Linked DNA regions of Arabidopsis thaliana. The protein of the gene in region 1 purifies or fractionates together with the protein of each later gene. This does not show direct contact. Each region holds a gene or a part of one and is shown in the gene's direction. Other genes may lie near its edges. The genes, in order: AT1G03960, AT3G57890 and AT2G42230.

The links.
Region 2: the proteins of AT1G03960 (region 1) and AT3G57890 fractionate together in Arabidopsis thaliana (co-fractionation; one large-scale study listed by BioGRID). This does not show direct contact.
Region 3: the proteins of AT1G03960 (region 1) and AT2G42230 fractionate together in Arabidopsis thaliana (co-fractionation; one large-scale study listed by BioGRID). This does not show direct contact.

Annotation. Positions count from the first base shown.
Region 1 is NC_003070.9:1,011,929-1,019,223, forward strand, and holds AT1G03960 (Calcium-binding EF hand family protein), read left to right. Parts: upstream 1-1,723; 5' UTR 1,724-2,156; coding exon 2,157-2,309; exon of another isoform or gene 2,310-2,405; coding exon 2,406-2,615; intron 2,616-2,692; exon of another isoform or gene 2,693-2,748; intron 2,749-2,838; coding exon 2,839-2,944; intron 2,945-2,985; exon of another isoform or gene 2,986-3,022; coding exon 3,023-3,122; intron 3,123-3,270; coding exon 3,271-3,376; intron 3,377-3,499; coding exon 3,500-3,590; intron 3,591-3,755; coding exon 3,756-3,897; intron 3,898-4,150; coding exon 4,151-4,298; intron 4,299-4,411; coding exon 4,412-4,521; intron 4,522-4,866; coding exon 4,867-5,023; intron 5,024-5,129; coding exon 5,130-5,255; coding exon of another isoform or gene 5,256-5,309; exon of another isoform or gene 5,310-5,403; coding exon 5,404-5,544; 3' UTR 5,545-5,553; intron 5,554-5,639; 3' UTR 5,640-6,029; downstream 6,030-7,295. Other genes in the region: VPS2.3 (vacuolar protein sorting-associated protein 2.3), read right to left, coding at 14-85, 237-308, 407-511, 581-631, 718-752, 940-984, 1,251-1,284; GBF4 (G-box binding factor 4), read left to right, coding at 6,309-7,121. UniProt on the Arabidopsis thaliana protein: Probable regulatory subunit of type 2A protein phosphatase.
Region 2 is NC_003074.8:21,435,995-21,442,649, forward strand, and holds AT3G57890 (Tubulin binding cofactor C domain-containing protein), read left to right. Parts: upstream 1-2,089; 5' UTR 2,090-2,276; coding exon 2,277-2,783; intron 2,784-3,294; coding exon 3,295-3,402; intron 3,403-3,490; coding exon 3,491-3,631; intron 3,632-3,776; coding exon 3,777-4,151; intron 4,152-4,236; coding exon 4,237-4,341; intron 4,342-4,470; coding exon 4,471-4,611; intron 4,612-4,949; coding exon 4,950-5,153; intron 5,154-5,264; coding exon 5,265-5,357; intron 5,358-5,451; coding exon 5,452-5,563; intron 5,564-5,657; coding exon 5,658-5,701; 3' UTR 5,702-5,894; downstream 5,895-6,655. Other genes in the region: AT3G57900 (import inner membrane translocase subunit Tim17/Tim22/Tim23 family protein), read right to left, coding at 6,287-6,391, 6,479-6,580.
Region 3 is NC_003071.7:17,592,648-17,598,687, reverse strand, and holds AT2G42230 (C-CAP/cofactor C-like domain-containing protein), read left to right. Parts: upstream 1-2,022; 5' UTR 2,023-2,124; coding exon 2,125-2,610; exon of another isoform or gene 2,611-2,790; intron 2,791-2,885; coding exon 2,886-3,026; intron 3,027-3,150; coding exon 3,151-3,531; intron 3,532-3,632; coding exon 3,633-3,737; intron 3,738-3,824; coding exon 3,825-3,965; intron 3,966-4,103; coding exon of another isoform or gene 4,104-4,109; intron 4,110-4,243; coding exon 4,244-4,447; intron 4,448-4,554; coding exon 4,555-4,647; intron 4,648-4,743; coding exon 4,744-4,855; intron 4,856-4,939; coding exon 4,940-4,983; 3' UTR 4,984-5,277; downstream 5,278-6,040. Other genes in the region: AT2G42240 (RNA-binding (RRM/RBD/RNP motifs) family protein), read right to left, coding at 39-108, 178-266, 380-428, 659-731, 977-1,033, 1,132-1,216, 1,428-1,490, 1,581-1,844; AT2G42220 (Rhodanese/Cell cycle control phosphatase superfamily protein), read right to left, coding at 5,383-5,447, 5,537-5,641, 5,747-5,832, 5,927-6,040.

The DNA of each region.
Region 1 (7,295 bases):
TGAAAGAACTTACAGTCATGTCCATTTGTGCAGACTGCTTTTGAAATTCTCTCATAACCTTAGCCTGTTTTGCTGGATCCATATTCTGGAAAACCCACAGAAACAACAAGATCTTAACAAAAGAGCCCCTCAAAATTCCTACTGGATTTAAGTTATTTCTACTAATTTAACTTGATGAATCCAATCAAATAATTAAACATGGACAAATCAGATTTGTGTTACATAGGGAATCTGACCTTGCTCATAGCTGCCATTGCCTTAGTGGCACCTTGCATTCCAGCAGCAACTGAAGTGTGTGCATGCATAGCCTAAACACCAAAGAGAAAGCTTCCAATACTCAATCTTCTTGGTTTATAAACAGAAATACTTTAGAATGAAAGGATAGAAGTTGTTTAAATTAAGAAACCTGTGTATGAGTAGCAATGCCTCGCATTTGAGCTCGGCTACCTTGTAAGTTAGCTATTTGCTGCCTTAGACGGATCAATTGCCGAGCAAGAATCTTAGTCGCTCCCTGCATAAAAACAAAAGATGTAGTGTACATAAACTAGATGCTATTACTGATAAGGAATGCTTGAAATACCTCATTGCCTGATTTAGCAGTTCTTTTGATCTCGAGAACGAGCTTTTTTTCCTATCAAACATGAAAGAAAACGTTTTTTAGATATGTCCCTTTTAAAAAGATGGATGAAAACGTTACTAACTGAGCCACACTCATACTTCTGATTGCAGAGATCCGATTTCCTTTTCGATTCCTGAAGCCAAAACACGAAAAGGTGGAAAATTTCATCAGTTTGAGAGGAATTTAGGTATATGGCGATAAATACTTGAGTAATATCTAGTTAAAGCCATGGAACATAGTAGCTTATCAATCAAGCAATCAAAAACAATGAATTAACCTTTTTCTAGATTCAATAATCCAAGCATATGAACAAAGAATACCTCTGGTAGCTTGTGTCATCTCTCTCTTACTCTCCCGAAGCACTTCTGCAATTGCCAAAAAAAAAAACGAAACATTCAGATTCTGACAGTCCGATTTCAATAGACATTAAGATTCTCGAATTCAGACGAAACCAAGCCAGATTCCAAAAGAAACATGATCACGAACGCGCCACAAAATTACAGAAGAAGTCAACCGGAAGAAACCCAGATGATCAAAATTCCATTTAGGTTGATCAATCGGAGAAAAAAAAAACCTAATTGAGAAAACAAAATCCATAATGATACAAAAGAAAAATCCGGTGGAATTAAACCTCTGGGATTAGGTTTCTTAGTGAAGATGTTCATGTTTCTTCTCCTTGCTTGTTTTGTTTTTCTCTGTGAAATTGAAGATGGTCTCAAAGCTTTTAGAACACGGAGACTCTGTACCACAGAGGTAGTTAGAGAGAGAGAGATTTAGCTTCAAACGTGATCGCAGCAAATTTTTGAAGGTTTTAATTTTCTCATCGATTACGTAAATATTCTTATTTATATTTGATTATTAGTTTTTTTACTGTGATTATTAAATTCCACAAATACGAGAATTTATAGCTAAAACGTTATACATAATGTAATTAAATCGTTTTTTTTACACGACTACTACTAACCTAAGTATTTTCTATTTAGAATAAATAAATAAATATATGATACAATATTATATTTTTGTTTTGATTAAATTAATCTAAAAACAAAATTAATTTTAATCCTTGGCAAAAGGAGATAGGGGGGTCAAACAGAAAGAAGTGAAAAAAAAAAGAAAAAGAAACGGCCGGTGAGTAATAAATATCTCTCGAGGTCCTCCTCCTCCTTTCCTTTGATAACTTTCCGGCAAAATCTCAGAACCTCCCCATTTTTCTTTGCCGATTATTGATCGGAATTGCTTTGTTCGCTCATCTGCCAACTTCCTTCCTACTCGGTGTAGGAATCTTACGTGTCCAATCATCTGTCTATTTTTGGAAACAAATCCTCAGTGATTTTGTACTTTACTTATATCAAATTCGATAACTAGGGTTTATCGAATCGGATTGTTGTTTCTCCAATTATAATAATTCAAGTTGGTTCACACAGTAGCGTCGACTTTTCATAGCCGCTGTTGTCGAATTTTGAATTTCTCGATTTTCCCGGCGCTTTTGTTACGATTCAAGGAGTTTGAACAAGTAGGGCTTCTCGTTGCGGAGATCATGGATATTGACGGAGTAGACGACGATCTTCATATTTTAGATCCTGAGCTCTTGCAGCTCCCCGGTTTGTCTCCTTCTCCCCTCAAACCAACCTCTCTTATTGCTGATGACCTCTTCTCTCAGTGGCTCTCACTCCCTGAAACTGCCACATTGGTAGCCACCTTCTTATTTCTACACTTCCTTCCTTGGCCTCTCTTTTACACAAGTGTGTTCCATGACCTTGGTTTCCCATTTTTCATGTTTCTGTAGGTCAAGTCTTTGATTGATGATGCTAAATCTGGAACACCAACTAATAAATCCAAGAATTTGCCTTCTGTGTTTCTGAGCAGCAGCACTCCCCCACTATCTCCACGAAGCTCCTCTGGTTCCCCTCGTTTCTCCAGGCAAAGGACTAGCCCTCCTTCTCTCCACTCTCCTCTTAGATCACTCAAGGAGCCAAAGCGCCAACTCATTCCTCAGGTTTGTTCTCATTTCCTGCCTCTGGACCTGTGATTTTGGTCTAGTATCTATGTTCACTGGATTGGTCGTTGAAACAGATAGCTTTCGTTAGTAGATGCAGGGTACAATTTAAACCGAGGCTACTAATTTGTAGGTAAACTTGATTTGAACGAAAAATGGTCCTTCACTGTGACATGATAATAAGTTTCGCTCACAACTGTTCATATGTTTATAATTTCTGCAGTTCTACTACCAACACGGGCGTCCACCAGCAAAAGAACTAAAGGAGCAATGTCTATCCATGGTTGATCAAGTTTTTAGTAACTATATTGATGGACTACATGTAGATGGTGATGTTTTTGTTCTATTTTTGTCCTTCTAAGGAATATATAAGGCAGTTCATTTTACCATTCTCGTTCCTCTTGCAGAATTCAAATCCATTACGAAACAAGTCTGCAAGCTGCCTTCTTTTCTTTCTCCTGCACTTTTCAGAAAGATCGATCCCAATTGCACTGATATAGTTACAAGGTAGCTCCATATATGACTCATTTATTCTTTTATAAAATGTTTTTTAAAAGTAGTATGAGAACTTTGGGTGCTTGCTCTATTTTCTTATAAAGCTTTGTTGGGTAATTGGTGCGGTACTAATGTTTGCTGATTGACCAATTGTCCTCAGGGATGCATTTATCAAGTATTGGATTGATGGCAATATGTTAACTATGGACACAGCCTCCCAGATATATAATATACTAAGGCAGCAGGGCTGCAGCTATCTCAGACAGGTCTTTTTGTGATTCTTCTCCCGCTTTTCTCCAACCGCGTTCTGATTTATTTTCCAACAATTGTCTTCCTTTTCTTAACCCATTGTGCCATACATTTTGATCATTTCTTGGATTTGGCTACAGGCAGACTTCAAACCAGTTCTTGATGAGCTTCTGGCAACACATCCTGGATTAGAATTTTTGAGGACGATAAGCGAGTTTCAAGAAAGATATGGTAGGAACCATTGATTTGTGACTTACTGATTGTCATGGTGTTAAAAATGATGAAACCTACTCAATAAGACGTTCTTTCTGTGCATACATCTTTATATCTCTACTAGATATGTACTTATGTTAGATTCATACTTGTACTAATTTTAATCCTTTGTTGATTACCCAGCTGAAACGGTCATCTACAGAATATTTTACTACATTAACAGATCCGGAACTGGCTGCCTTACTCTTAGAGAGCTGAGACGTGGAAATTTAATTGCTGCTATGCAACAACTTGATGAAGAGGACGACATTAATAAAATTATTAGGTGAGTTTATTTTTTCTTTTCATAATTTCCTAACAATAAGTATTTGAAATTCAAACATATTCTGTTGTTATATAAGGAGTAAACAAGCTTACGAAAATATATTAAAGTTCGAGGGTTTATCACATATGTAACATTAAACAGTTCAAAATGGAAGAGCTATATGAGTATTGGCTTATACCTTCATATTGCTTCTGTAACAGAACTTATGCCTGATTTTACCATTTGCAATCATGTCGTTTCTTTTAATTTTCAGGTACTTCTCCTATGAGCACTTCTACGTGATATACTGCAAATTTTGGGAACTTGATGGTGACCATGATTGTTTTATTGATAAGGACAATCTCATCAAATATGGTAATAATGCCCTTACCTACAGGATTGTTGATAGAATATTTTCACAGGTTGGTTCCCAAAATTGTTCCTGCCTAGACCTTCTTAAAAGCTAAGTTATATAGTATGATGTGATCCTTTTTATTTGATCTCCATGCGTCTTGTGGCTATGTTTCTCTTTTAGATTCCAAGGAAGTTTACGAGTAAAGTTGAAGGGAAGATGAGTTATGAAGATTTTGTGTACTTCATTCTCGCTGAGGAAGACAAGTCTTCCGAGCCTAGTCTTGAGTATTGGTACACATCTCCCCCTCCGTGTTGATATTGGTTTTCCTTAATGAATGTTGCCCCTTGGTTTAGATCACAAGATCTTGATATATATACTACAACGGAGTCAAAACCAGTGACTTGAGGACTTGTTACTTGTAACAAGTCCTCTTCCTCAGATATATTTAGTAATCATTGTATGGTACCATTTTTTCATGAACATAGGATCCTTGTTTATACTCGGGCACTAACAATCTAACAATCTGATACTAGTTTATAGCCTAGTATGCTCATCTATCTATTATGGATGTCAAAACTCAATATTTTTGCAAGTCCGTGTATTTTACTTGACACTGATTGAAATTTTCCGTGCAGGTTCAAATGCGTAGACTTGGATGGAAATGGGGTAATCACTTCAAACGAAATGCAGTTTTTCTTCGAAGAGCAGCTGCATCGCATGGAATGCATAACCCAGGAAGCTGTTCTTTTCAGTGATATCCTATGTCAAATAATTGACATGATTGGACCCGAGGTTAGTTACTTTACAAACCAGAACATGGTTGTTTGATTTTTCCGAGCTTTTTTGTTATTTATCATTTATTTGACTGGAATCATCTATATGGTGGATGTCCTTGCAGAAGGAGAACTGTATCACCCTCCAGGATCTGAAAGGATCGAAACTTTCAGCAAACGTTTTCAATATACTCTTCAACCTTAATAAGTTCATGGCATTTGAAACACGTGACCCATTTCTCATTCGCCAGGTAAGTTTGGCTTACCAGTGGAGTTTTTATAGCACTCAAGAGGGAAAAAAATAACAAAGAATATGACTTCTTTTAACTGCTAAAGGCAGTTTGTAGTAGTTCGGATTGAGGCAATTAGAACAAGTATAATTCTCTTTCATTGCTGTAGGAACGGGAAGATCCAAATTTGACAGAGTGGGATCGATTTGCTCAGAGAGAGTATGCGAGATTGTCAATGGAGGAAGATGTAGATGAAGTCTCAAATGGGAGTGCAGATGTCTGGGATGAACCACTCGAACCTCCATTTTAGTCCATAGTGGTAAGTTCACACTGCTTGTGTATAGGAAATGCAAATGCTTATAAAATTCTGTGATTTATTGAGTCGAAAGCCGATCTTGACTACAGAAACCAACCAAATAAGGAGACTTATGATTTGAGGTTTTCCCTGGAGAGAGATCCATGATCAGAGATTGGAGGTCACTGTTGGTTGTTACCAGACGCTTTCATCATCATTTCCAAAAGAGTCTCAGCCAAATTCATGAAATTTTTGCAATTTTGTTTTGGTTTCATTATAAAGATTATATCAAGTTGGGCCCTCTCTCCCTCTACATCATCTAGTGTCCATATAACCAGTTGGATTGTCCAACTCAGAATGTACTCATAAATCTGAATTGTTAAACTCTTTTAGTCTTTACTGTCACACGAATATATTTTCAGAAAGAAATCTGAATTGTAAATCTCTTTAGTTGCACTGATATCTTTTTCATAAAAAAAAAAAGAGAAAGAAATCTGAATAGTAAATCTTTTTTCTTAATTAAAAAGAAAAGAAAAAACATCTCCTTATAGTATAGTTGATAGAAGGTGCAAGTCACGCGTTTAATGTGCGCGTGATTAGTTAATTAAACTTGTATATAGAGAGTAAGCGCGTGGTTACATTGCAAAACACTAGAGATAACCCTAGAAAGATCTCTCTCGATCTCTGGTTCGAAGAAAATCCACCATTTCCGATTGTTCTTTCTCTTTGACAAAACCCAGATAGATAAAAATTCGTTCCAATTCCAGTGAGCTCCGGAAATGGCGTCCTTCAAGTTGATGTCTTCTTCCAATTCCGACTTGTCTCGCCGTAATTCTTCTTCTGCTTCATCTTCCCCTTCTATAAGATCATCGCACCATCTCCGACCAAATCCTCACGCCGATCACTCCAGAATCAGTTTCGCTTACGGCGGAGGAGTCAACGATTACACTTTCGCGTCTGATTCAAAGCCCTTCGAGATGGCGATTGATGTTGATCGGAGTATCGGAGATCGGAACAGCGTTAACAACGGAAAGAGTGTTGACGATGTTTGGAAAGAGATTGTATCTGGAGAGCAAAAGACGATCATGATGAAGGAAGAAGAACCAGAAGATATAATGACACTTGAGGATTTCTTAGCGAAAGCAGAAATGGACGAGGGAGCTTCAGATGAAATCGATGTGAAGATTCCAACGGAGAGACTCAACAACGACGGTAGCTATACATTTGATTTTCCGATGCAGCGACACAGTTCGTTCCAGATGGTTGAAGGATCAATGGGTGGAGGAGTAACGAGAGGAAAGAGAGGGAGAGTGATGATGGAGGCAATGGATAAAGCTGCAGCTCAGAGACAGAAGAGGATGATCAAGAACCGTGAATCCGCTGCTAGGTCTCGAGAGAGGAAACAGGCTTATCAGGTTGAGTTAGAGACTTTGGCTGCCAAGTTAGAGGAGGAGAATGAGCAGCTTTTGAAGGAGATTGAAGAGAGCACTAAAGAGAGATACAAGAAGCTCATGGAGGTTCTGATTCCGGTCGATGAGAAACCAAGGCCACCGTCGAGGCCCTTAAGCAGGAGCCATTCCTTGGAATGGTGAAGTGTGGTAAAAAAAACTTTTGTATGTAAAAAAAATAAAAACATATGGGCTTGATTACTATATTATAATCTATATAGTAAAGTGATGGTGATATGGTTAGTACTTAGTTACCTGTAATGTATCTAAGGGATGTAATGGATAATACATAGCTTTTTGCTGATTTATAAGATATCT
Region 2 (6,655 bases), on another chromosome or scaffold:
TGAAGGATTTCAGTCCACCGTACGTTTACCACGATCGAGTCACCCACTACGGTCATAACTAATACTATAATTTGATAAGTGTAATAAGAAGACAAATGATAAAAAAAAAAGAAGAAGACAAATTTGCTAAGATGACAGTTTGTAATCCATATCTTATCACATCTACAAGAGAGATATATACAACTCTTTTTCTTAAGAGATGATTAATGCGTTAAACAAGTTTAACCAGTTATCAAAAATATGTAAATCTTTTCTCCAGAGGTTTAAAGACAACGTCACGGTAATTGTTTCGTCGAAAAATGACTATTTTAAACTGTACGGTTCATGGTCACTTTTTGTGTATTTACATAAAGAAAAAATATTAAATTTTATACTCAGAATTAGGTATGGGCACGAAGCGGATATCCGGAAAAATTATGATATTTGTTATTCGATTCGTTTTAAACGAATACTTGATTTTGTGATTCGCTTTACTTCGAAAATTTCCAGATATCCGGAATTTCGAATATCCGGAATTTTTTGTGATATTTGCGGATATCCGCTTTGATACATTTAAATATTAAAAAAATATGTATACTATATAACTATATCATATATTCAAAAAATTTATCCGTGCGTTCCTTAATTGGTGTCTCCGTGTGCTTTTAAAATAAGTTCTAAATACCAAACATAACCGTTGTTGGTATCACCGGTCAACAAAATATTATCAAACTAATTCCAAAACTAAAACCCGATAGTTTTTTGATGCCATTGATCAAAACATAACATAAAAAAAAATGATCAAACAAACATCTTAACATAAAAACATAAAATGACAACAATACACAAACTATTTATGATATCTATATATAGATATACTATATTTTCTAATATATATAAAAAGATACGGATCGAAGCGGATATTCGATTTTTTAAAAAACAATATTTATTATTTGATTCGATTTTTACGAATACTATATTTTTCTATTTGCTTTGCTCCAAAATCTTACGAATATTCGGATTTTTCGAATCAAATTAAATCAAATACCGAATCGAAACGGATCAAATCAAATCAAATCAGAATATTGAGCTAGCTGAATGAATGAGATAACCTAAGAATCCAAAAGTTGATAGTGTTCCCTTTCCGAATTCCAATAGTAGCTTGATAACATTTATTTAACGGCGATAAATTCAACCGTTAGTTTGATTACCAATCAAATAATTGCTTGCAATAGACGGATGAAACGAGTGGTAAGAATAGGTGATTGAAACAAACGGTTAAAAGCTTAAACAAAATAGGTGAGTTTGCAACCTCTCTTGTTCACCATTGGAATATTTTAGTTATTTAACGTTTCTTAGATTTTTAAAACTGTAATGTATTTGAATTATTTACTAAAGAGTTTTGTTTTTCTTTGTTTTTTAAATATTTTTAGTTATTTATTAAATATTTTAATTTAGTTTTTTTTTTTTACTGTTTAACCGTTTGTTACTAATCATAACTATTATTTAACGGTTCATTTTAAATTATTTATCATTTTTTCTTTTAATATATTTTCTAACCGTTTTTTTTTATCAGTCTTTTTTGTAAGTGTTAAATAAAATAACCGCCTTATTTAAACGATATTACCAATTGGTTTAATTTTAGGTTGTTCATCTTTTCTAACCGTTTTTTTCTACCCGCCTTTTTCTGTAACTGCTAAAAAACATAACCGTCTCATTTAAACGATGTTTACCCATTGCAAACCATTTTCCTTAAACAAGCGGACAATATTTAAATTGCAATGAAAGCGAGTTATGAGTTCTTTTGGCCTAAACTTCCCAATTTTATCTCTCTTTTTCCCACTAATCTTCTAACAATTTTAATTAACAGTGACAACTTACAAGTACTTAGGTAACCAAGTATATTTCCCTATTGTAAAACCTAATTATGAGTTGTGATGATCACCTTTTCTCCTTTTGACGAACGCTTAGGACCTAACTTATTGCAACAATGGCCTAACTAAAACTTAAATGCGATTTGCATTCAATTCTCAAATGGGCCTCTTTAGTTAACATGTTATCTCCGTTCATCTGACGTGTCATAGCTCAGATCAAAGGTTAATCTACTCGTAAATCCAACGACCAAAGAAACGAAGCGTACGTTACTAACATACACGTGCACGCACTGTAACCATCTCTCTCTCTGCTCTTCTCCTTCAATGAAATGATTCGTCACCCAAAGAAAGATCTGCAACTTCACCACCGGACCAGTCTCTCTCTATCTCTTCTGTCTCTCTACCTCGCGCGACGAATCAATCATGACTGAAGAACAAGACCTCATCGACCAATCACCACCACCTTCAGCACCCGACCCTGAACCAAACTCGAGCACGAATCCGAATTCAGTAATCCATCCAAGGCGTGTGTCTTTCGAGCACGGACTCCTCCCGATCCAGAAACTCGTTTTCACCGACCCGATCCAAACCTTAGCCCCTGTCAAGCAGAAGCTAGCCGATGCGGCTTCGAATAACCGCGTTGGATCGGCTGCAATCGCCGACGTTCTCCAGATCTCCGGCGACCATGCGCGTCTCGTTCTCGAGACTCTCGGTTCGGTGCTTCATTCCGAGTCTGACCCTCTGGTTCGGGCGAAACCTGAGGAAGTTGATTCCGTCGGAGCTGATTTGCGGGATCTTATTTTGTTCCTGTACATTCAATCGTATAAGAAGTTGCTTCCTAGGACGCATAAGGACTCCGCAGCGGTGGCTGATGTTTGGCCATCGACTTCAGCTTTTGATGGATACTTGTCTGCGTTATCGCCAATTCAGGCAAGTTTCTTACTTTTTTTGGCCCTCTTATTATAATGTGCCTCAATCCCAGCGCCTGCGATTTGTTTGGTATTGAAATGGAACTGTTGTACTCGAGTATGGAATTGGAACGTGGTAGAGAATAACTTATTTCCATTTCGCATTGTATTTAACTAAAATTTGCAATGCAAGTTTAAGTTTTCTGAGTCATTTGATTTACCTGAAACTTAGAGTTAAGCAATGTCGGAAATTTGGGTGATTAATTGAATTGATGGTGGCTATAGTTTCGTAACAATTCTCAATGAGGAAGATGCTTACTTGTATTTAATTGCCAGTCCCCTTTCTCTGATGACTCTGGGGCAATGGTAATTGGTTAGTTTACTAACTAAAGTCAAACAGTCGCCAGCTTGCTTTGTTTTGTGGTTCGGAATCTGATTCTTTTTCCGTTGTACCTTATTTTGTTTGGTCCTTTCACGTGGTTTATTTGGTGATAATGCTTGGTGTGTTCTTGAATTTTGACTCGGGTCTCCAGTCCTGTAATATTCTGTTTCCTGTGTGGTATGGATGTTCTATTGAGTCTTTTAGAAAACAGTCATATAATCTTAAGCTTTTCAGTGTTTTCTACAGTCACTGTTCTTTGGTATTCTATCGTTTCTCATCACATGGGTCGAACCAACTTTATTGGAGCTAAAATTGTTATTTATATCTCCTTTTCATCATTTCTGCAGCTTGTTCGCAGCAACAGCCGTCGATTTATGCCATCACAGGCAGATGATGAAGCTCATCAGTTGTCATATCTGCAAAAACATTTAGCAAACATCATTTCTCTCCTTGCAGAGCCTGTGGAGGGAGAAGGAGATGAATCATTGGTAAGTTCTAATCTTTCTTATATTCTCAGGGGGTGTCACTGTTCTAAGCTACAAGAATATAAAATTCTGATGTTGGAATAAGAATTTTTTAGGAAATGAAAGAGAACACAAGTTAATTTTTTTTTTCTTGTCCAATATCGTTCAGGTTTTCTCTATGGAGGCGTTCGAGCATCTGCGTTTTCTTGTTCAGTTTGGTGATAAGGGATCTGATGTATCTCCATTGAGCCAAGCTACTCCTTTTTTTGCAAATTCTGATCCGGATATGCCCGCTGTTCCAGTCCCCGCTTCCCAAGTGCATGACTGGCTTCTGCAAAACATAGCTTCCGCTTTAGAAAGCATTACTGAGAGAATTTCTGGAAAAGAGAACGGACCTTCTAACGATCAAGATGATGCGATGTCAGATGTTTGTGCTGCTCCGAACAAGGTTGCACCTAGTACTAGAGGCCCGTGTTTAATCGAGGGAGTCTCCAAGACTTCACTTGTTAAGCAAGCCTCCGATCTAAGGGGTAGATCTGTGAAGGTCTGACTGTTCCTTGTTCCGTTTTTCTTCCAGTCATGGAATCTCTGTGCAAGCATGTCAACTCCTTGTTTTGTGTATTTTTCAGGTTGTCAATTGCCATGATTCTGTAATTTATCTTTTAGCACCATTGCGATATGCAACTGTGCACGGATGTTCTGATACTACTATAGTTTTGGGAGCTGTTGGCAAGGTATGGAAACAATGCTTCTTCCTTCTTTATCTTTTCTGAAGATAGTCAAAGCAACATTTAACAAGTTATAATATCTGCCAACTTTTATTAAAAGATGTATCAAACATAATTCCGTATTTATTTCTGCAGGCAATAAAAGTTGAGCACTGTGAAAGAGTTCATGTGATTGTAGCTGCCAAACGAGTGTGCATTGCCAATTGTCGTGAATGTGTATTCTTCTTGGGAGTCAATCAGCGGCCACTTATTGTTGGTGATAACCACAAACTGCAGGTGAAGCTTCTCTTTAAGATTGTGGTTTAATTTACAAGTTTTATGTCATGTTGCTCTTATTTACCTTTCTGATATTAAGGTAAAAAAAATTGAGTGGCTAGACTTTTTACTAGATTTAGTTTGGTTAGTTTGGTTAATAAGCCGTTTCGGACACGTCATCAAGTCTAGTGGAAACAAACTTGGAGGGGTGGCTAGACTGCTGCTAGATACGTTTAGTCAAATGTTTTCCTCAAGAAGGTTTTACTGGTTTTTAAGAGTGCGGGCATTGTCAGATATTGCTTCTAGTGATTATGGGCTTCTATTTTTAAAGTGCTGGCATCAATTTGACTTTGTTTCAGGTCGCTCCATATAATACATTTTACTCTCATTTGGAAGAGCACATGAGGGAGGTAGGGCTTGAGCCAACGATCAACAAATGGGACAAACCATTGGCCCTGGGAGCTGTGGATCCACATGACTCCCTGTCACATCCTGCCGGTGTTGCTGATGCACAGGCTGAATCAGCTGCTTCTGTAGACCCTGACCAGTTCGTAAACTTTTTGGTACATTTTCTATTTGGGTCTAACATTTACGTCAATAATTGGTGAATGCTTTTCAGTGTCATGAAGCATCTAATGACGTGTTTTTCGGTGGTATCAATGACAATGGCACAGATCCCAAACTGGTTTAGCGGCGCGGAGCTTGGTTCGACGAAAGACAATCCATTTCCATTGCCAGATGCTTATATGGCAGCTCAGCAGAGAAACGTATGTTTTAAAGTTATACTTAACCAGATAAACAAATGCATTTGTTATTTTTGTCCATATCTGATCTTGTATCTGCAATTTTTTTTGTCATCAGCTTAAGAACTTTGAAGAAACAAGACGATCGTTAAAAGAGGCGCCTCTAGAAGAAAACCGGAAACGAGAGCTATCAAGTGCACTCCATGTTTATTTCAAAGACTGGCTTTACGGTAAGAAAACTTTCTCTGAATCGATCCCTACTTTACTTTATTGATATGCATCATTCATTAGGTTTTGACTTAGTCTATGTTTTTGTTGCGACAGCATCTGGAAATATAAGGCAACTCTACTGCCTACAAGGTGACTAATAAGAATAATAGACCAAGCGGAAAGTGTCTTGTTCATGTAGAGCTCCTTCGATCATATTTGGCATATTGCTAGTGAAGAAACCCCACCCCAAGACCAAAAGAAAAAAGAAAAAAGAGAAATCAGCCTGATTCAGTGATTTGTAGTTTGGAACCAATACTTCACAACGTAACTTATCTGCACAGAAATACTCTCTTAAAGCTTTCGTTTAGATTATTGTTTTCTTGATTTCTGCTTTTCTTTCCTTGACATTTCAATCCATCGTTTTTGTTCCCTTCTCTATTGAAAATCTCATCTTCAAATAGAGCATGATGACTTGAATTGTTATAAGTTATAACTTGTAAGCAAAACTGTTTTGATAGATAGTCTTGTCTTGGTCAAATAGATTTAAGTGGACGCAAGAGTTAGGCTACTACCATGGTAGGTGCAAATTTCTGAAGAAGTTTTAGAGCTCCAAAATTTCTCATATTTGCAGAATCTCATATTCGTAGAAACATCCAAACAATGCAACATAACATGAACATCTCAAGATACAAAAACAGAAGGACATGGGATGGAACAGAGATATCCATGAGCGCAGGATCCAGCTAATAATGAGTTCTTGCTACTTTAGTCATTGTAATGTGTGCTCCATTGAAGAAATCTCTCTTAGCTCTAAAGTTCTGCACCAACTGTTCAACACCAATGAACACCTCCAATGGCAGCAAAAGTCAGCCCGTGGCTTCCCATCATCTTCAACGTTCTGATGAGTCCTGGAAGAGCAACGTTTCTTTCAATACGAGGGACGTCTTTCCAGTTGCAAAACCAGTCACAGCATCTTTGAATGTCTTCATCATCGCTCCATTTTCCTCTTCCAAGTATCTCATTTCTGTAGGATCCATGATAATTTCTTCAACCGATAAAGCTTAGTCCTTTTTATGTCAAACGTGATCTAACAAAGAAAATTGGCAGCAACG
Region 3 (6,040 bases), on another chromosome or scaffold:
CTCTCGATTTAAAGAAAAAGATATTGCAAGAGCTGTACCTGGAAATCAACAAATGCAACAGGAGTCCCATATGTACCCTGAATCTTCAGCTTCAAGAATCCACGGCATCTGAGAGGAAAGAGAGTGAAAACTATCTCTAGTGGTTACAGTTTTGCGTGGAGAATAGAGTATTCTTACCTCGAGAAAACTTGAATTAGCTCAGCTTCGGTGCAATTTGGTCCCATATTCGCTATGAAAAGTGTTGGACAAGGATCTGCCGCCTTACTCTGTCAAAGGAACAAAGATTGTCATGTTCACTGGTAAGAATAGTTTACCTCACTGTTTTTCGTCCAGACAGAAAACAATACTCATATGAAGTATAAAATAGGCAGAAGCTTACAGGTTTTCTAGAAGTCGGTGCCCTCCCAGCAACATTAGCAATTCCTTGACTGAACGAGCAAAAAGAATTTAATGAGACCCTGAGTTTCGTGAGCTAATAGCTAAGAAAGAACAAGCACTCTCGTAACCAGTATCTAGACATGTGAGCTAGGACTAGTTCAGCTAATCCTTAAGTAGGTCAGATTTTCAAGGCAGAGGTACAAGAAAAGAGTGTGCAACAAAGAAACAGAATCTAAGCATTCACAAGGAACTAGAAATGTGCTCAAGTAGTGCAGATGACCTTTGTGCAGGTGAATAACCAATTGTGTTGTAAGCAGAACTACTCATTCCAGGAGTTTGAAAGCTGCCAAAACCTGCTAGTGCCCAAACGTGCAAGAATGTGCAGTGTGAGTTTTCAGAAACGTGAAACCATGTTGACGGCACTTAAAGCCCAAGTGTGAAATCTTAAACCAAAAAGAGCTAGCATGCATGAGCGTGATGGTCATGAAGATTGGAAGTTTGAAAATATATATACTACACAAACATTCAGTTACAAGAAACATAAAATACAGAAGGTTACAAGAAGCCTCAAGATGAAGGTGTGTGCCAATGATCTTACCAGATTCAGTAGTAGTGTTCCAAGACTTGAGTTTTTTCAAGCTTTCCCAACCATCATCTACCATATCACAAAAATCACAAAATAAAAATTAACACAACAATAGCAAAGGTCAAATTTTTATTGAGCTACCGAACCGAAAGAATCCTACTACTTGCCTGTTCTTGAACGCTTAGATTTGGGATTTGATTTGGCAAGGTCAATGTGAAGAGTAGAATGCTTTTCAAGATCAAACACCATTCCCTGAAAGGTTCAGAAATAAAATTCAGAAAGTTTCTTAATCTAGGCAAATGACAAAGCTTATTCACTTACGCATACAAATCCCAACCGAATGATTTCAATTTACTAGATTGAATTAAGAACAACCATAAAGATACCAAATTTACTTAATGCTTTGTAAGTAGATACATCGGCGACACATTGCAAGAGCAAGTTTGAAGAAATTTGTACTCACATTGAGAGCATGCATCACCGCTACAGCTGATTGCAGATCCGAGAACACAGCAAATGCGAAGGGCTACCAAACAAATAAAGTAAGATTCTCAGTCTCTTCGCCGGGAAACATCATTACCCAAATCACAAATCCGGAGAGATAGAAAATGATTACCTTAGCTCCATCTGAGCTCCGGAGATGCGAAGTCTCATATCCTGGGAACTCACGAAAGAGATTGTAGATCTCCCGAGGCTTGACATCTTCAGGAAGTCCGGCGACGAAAAGCGTCCTAACCTCATCGCGAGCTCCAATTGAGACATGGGTAGGCAAATAGACGGAATGAGCTGAAGTAATTGGAATCGGAGAAACTCCCGGCGGCGGAGGAGGAACCATCGCCGGTAAATTATAGTGAGAATAGTAAGCTTCCAAATCATCCATTGACAACGACTTAATCTCGTGGCCGGTGAAAGTCGCAGTTTACAACGGAGAAGAAACTAATCGCGTTACTTAATGGGCCGTTTAAAGCCCATTTAAATATCGGCCTTTTTGACCCATTGTTCATCACCAGGCGTAGGATAATAGCATGTGGTTGCACACACTGTAACATAACACTCTCTCTCTTTTTTTCTTCTTCTTGATGACAATTGTTCCTATGTTCAAAGATCTGCAACTTCATTCATAACAGTTCTTTTTCTCTCGTTCTCTGGTTTAAAGCATAATGACGGAAGAGCTCATCGACCAATCACCACCACCTGACCCAGACCCGATTCAAAATTCGAATTTAATAATCCACCCAAGACGTGTTCCTTTCGAGCACGGCCTTCTTCCGATCCAGAAGCTCGTTTTTACCGACCCGATTCAAACTCTAGCTCCGATCAAGCAAAAGTTAGCTTCTTTGGCGACGAATCATCGCGTCGGATCTGCTGCCATTTCCGATGCACTCTCGATCTCCGATGACCATGCGCGCCTCGTTCTCGAAACTCTCTCTTCGGTGCTCCATTGCGAGACTGACCCATTGGTTTTGGCCAAACCTGAGGAAGTTGATTCCGTGGGAGCTGATTTGAGGGATCTGATATTGTTTCTCTACATTCAATCGTATAAGAAGTTATTGCCTAGGACGCATAAAGACTCTGCTTCTGTGGCTGATGTTTGGCCTTCGACTTCTGCTTTTGATGGATACTTGTCGGCATTATCTCCAATTCAGGCAAGCTTTTTTATTCTCTTAATCATGTAATGTGGCTCAAAACGTTATCTTGTGATCTATTTGGTTTAAAAAATTTCATTTTGCATTGGATTTTACTATAATTTTGCAATGCAAGTTAAATAATATTACGTTATCATTCAGAAACATATGAAAAGGATTGTCTGATATTTGAAATATTTTACCGATAATTGTTCTCATTACTGTTTCTATCATATGGGTAGAGACATCCTTGTAGCTGTTGAGTTTAAGTTAAATTTCCTTTCATCATCTTGCAGCTTGTTCGTAGCAACAGCCGTCGGTTTATGCCATCACCGACAGATGAAGAAGCTCATCAATTATCGTATCTGCAAAAGCACATTGCAAATATTATTTCTCTCCTTGCAGAGCCTGTGGAGGGACAAGGAGATGATTCTTTGGTATGTGCTAAACTTTTTTTATGTTTGTATCAGATGGATAGAAAATTTTATGTTGTGATGCAATATTATGGGAAATGGAAAAGAACGAATATCTCATGCTAGATGGTCCGAATCTCCTCCTCAGGTCCTGTCTATGGAGAGTTTGGAGCACATTGGGTTTCTTGTTCATTATGGTGATAAGGGATTTGATGTACCTTCTTTAAGCCAAGCTACTCCTTTTTTTGCGAATTCTGATCCTGATATGCCCGCTGTCCCCGTTCCTGCTTCCCAAGTGAATGATTGGCTTCTCAAAGACATAGCTTCCGCCTTAGAAAGCATTTCTAACAGAATCTCTGGGAAAGAAAATGGGGCATCTAATGCCTCTGATCAGAATGCTGCAATGGCTGATTCTAGTGTAGCTCTTAATAAAGTTTCATCTAACGACAGAGGTCCATGTATTATTGAGGGAGTCTCTAAGACCTCACTTTTCAAGCAGGCTTCTGATCTTAAGGGTAGATCAGTGAAGGTCCGTATTGAACAACTAATTTGCATTTTAAACAGCAATCCCTCATTTAGTTTCGTTTACTCATGTATGCACGTCAATTGCATGTTTTGTGTATTCTGCAGGTTGCCAATTGCCATGATTCTGTTATTTATCTGTTAGCGCCATTGAGATATGCAACTGTGTATGGGTGTTCTGATTCTACTATCGTTCTGGGAGCTGCTGGCAAGGTACGGCAAATATACTCCTTTCTGTTTTAGTCTTTGTTAGCGAGGTTCAGGTTAGAATGCAGTGATAATATTTTATGTTCTTTGCAGGCAGTAAAAGTTGAGCATTGTGAGAGAGTTCATGTGATTGTAGCTACCAAACGAATTTGCATCGCCAATTGCCGTGAATGTGTGTTCTTTTTGGGAGTCAATCAGCGACCTCTTATAGTTGGTGATAACCACAAACTACAGGTGATATGTCTATTTAAGATTGAGCTGCATACATAACTCTTCTTTCCCGCCCTGATATTCAGCTGAAATTAATAAATAGACTACAGTTTTTCTTTTAACTCTAGGCTAAATCTTTCCTGTGTTAATATCCTGGTATAGTCATGATCGTATTAATGGTTCCTGGTGTTTGGAAAATTGAGCATGCTGTTAAAGTCACTTCTTCAACTGAGTTAAGTGGAAACATCTTCTGATGTGTTGTCTATAACTGTTGGCATCAATGTGACTGTTATCTGTTCCAGGTTGCTCCATATAATACATTTTACTCACACTTGGAGGAGCACATAACCGAGGTAGGAATTCAGCCAACTATCAACAAATGGAACGAATCCTTGGCGCTCGGAGCAATTGATCCGCATGACTCACTATCACATCCGACTGGTGCCTCTGATAAACAAGCTGAACCGGCTTCTTGTGTGGACCCTGACCAGTTCACTACCTTTTTGGTTAGATTCCCCTTTTTGTTAGTTTAATTTTCCTCTAGTAACTAGTGATATTGGTTATTAAGATTGTGTTCGTGGGTTAATTTCTCACATCAATGTCTCTGGTTCAGATCCCAAACTGGTTTGCGGGTGAGGCGATTGGTTCCACGAAAGACAATCCATTTCCATTGCCAGATGCATATAAGGCAGTGCAGCAGACAAACGTATGTTTTTTATTTGCTTTCCGCATAAAATTGCTCGTTTCTTTTTCATCCATACTTCAGCATCTGATCCCTTAACTGTGTTTTGGTTTTGAGCAGCTTAAGAACTTAGAGGAAACAAGACAATCCTTGAGAGAAACACCTCTCGAAGAAAACCGAAAACGAGAACTCACTACAGCGTTCCACATGTATTTCAAAGACTGGCTATACGGTAATCAAATAAAATCCCCATTCTAGTTCATTTACTCCTTTGGCCAGCCAATGATCTATATGTATCTCTTTCTTTTGGTGACAGCGACGGGAAATATTCGGCAACTTTACTGCCTACAAGGCGATTAAGACCAATGGCGATTGAAAATGTCAGAGTCACTGTAGAGTTCTCTTGATCCGTTCCTTCTCAGAGATTTGCTAGCACGTTTGACATCAGAATTTAACTGCACAGCACGCTCTCTAACTCCTAAAGCTCTGTTTTTTTGTGTGTAGGTTTCTCTCTGCTTTTATCGTATTTATTAGTCTTAAATATCCACGTTTTTGTCCTTGAAAAACATTAAGCCATCTTGTCTTGTTGTTGATTTCTTTCAATTGTTATAACAACTTTTCTCAATACCATATATATAAATCTTTTAGTAACTACTACTTGGGAATTTTAAATATTTTGAATTTTCTCTTAAGCATCACATTCAAAACAGGCAGAAAATGTGAAAACATGTCTGCCTCAATTGTTTTCTTTGTCTTGTCTTAGCTTGTTGGAGGAAAGAGCTTCTCTGCTTGGTCCGGGAAGAACTGTATGAACAAATAAGCACCTGCAAGTTCAACAAAGTCTTACTCATAACCAAAGGAAAGACCAAACAACATTCTCTATATTCTTCAGCTCTATGTAAATTAAACTTACAGACGAGTACTGTCCCTAAGACTGCTGAGATCTTGCCTTGAATTGTGATAAGCCCTGCTTTGCCTGCATTCTGCAACTCAGTGGAACCGACGGATTCAAATGTCCCTAAAGTCGCAACAACAGTAAATCCGATTCATTATCCTTCTCAAACCAAACTATCTCCAAAACCCCTCAAGAAATGATCTTAGATGAAACCAAATGGGATCAAACCTGGTTTTACAGATTGTAGCCCTGATGTTACACAAGCAATGTTTTCGTAACCTGCTTCCTCCAATCTACTAGCTGCAGCTGCAGATCTTTTCAAGAATCGAACAAAGAAACTTATAATTTTTCTTCATACTACATTTGGTGATACATGTCTCAGTGAAATCCAGAGTTTGTTCTACCAACCTGAGACCTTCTTGGCAAACAAGTAAAAGTTTGCTGTCTTGAGAAAACTCGTTTCTAACAGATTTAAGAAATTCCGGATTCACTTTCGTGAAAGGTAAACCAAAGAAGAGCCCT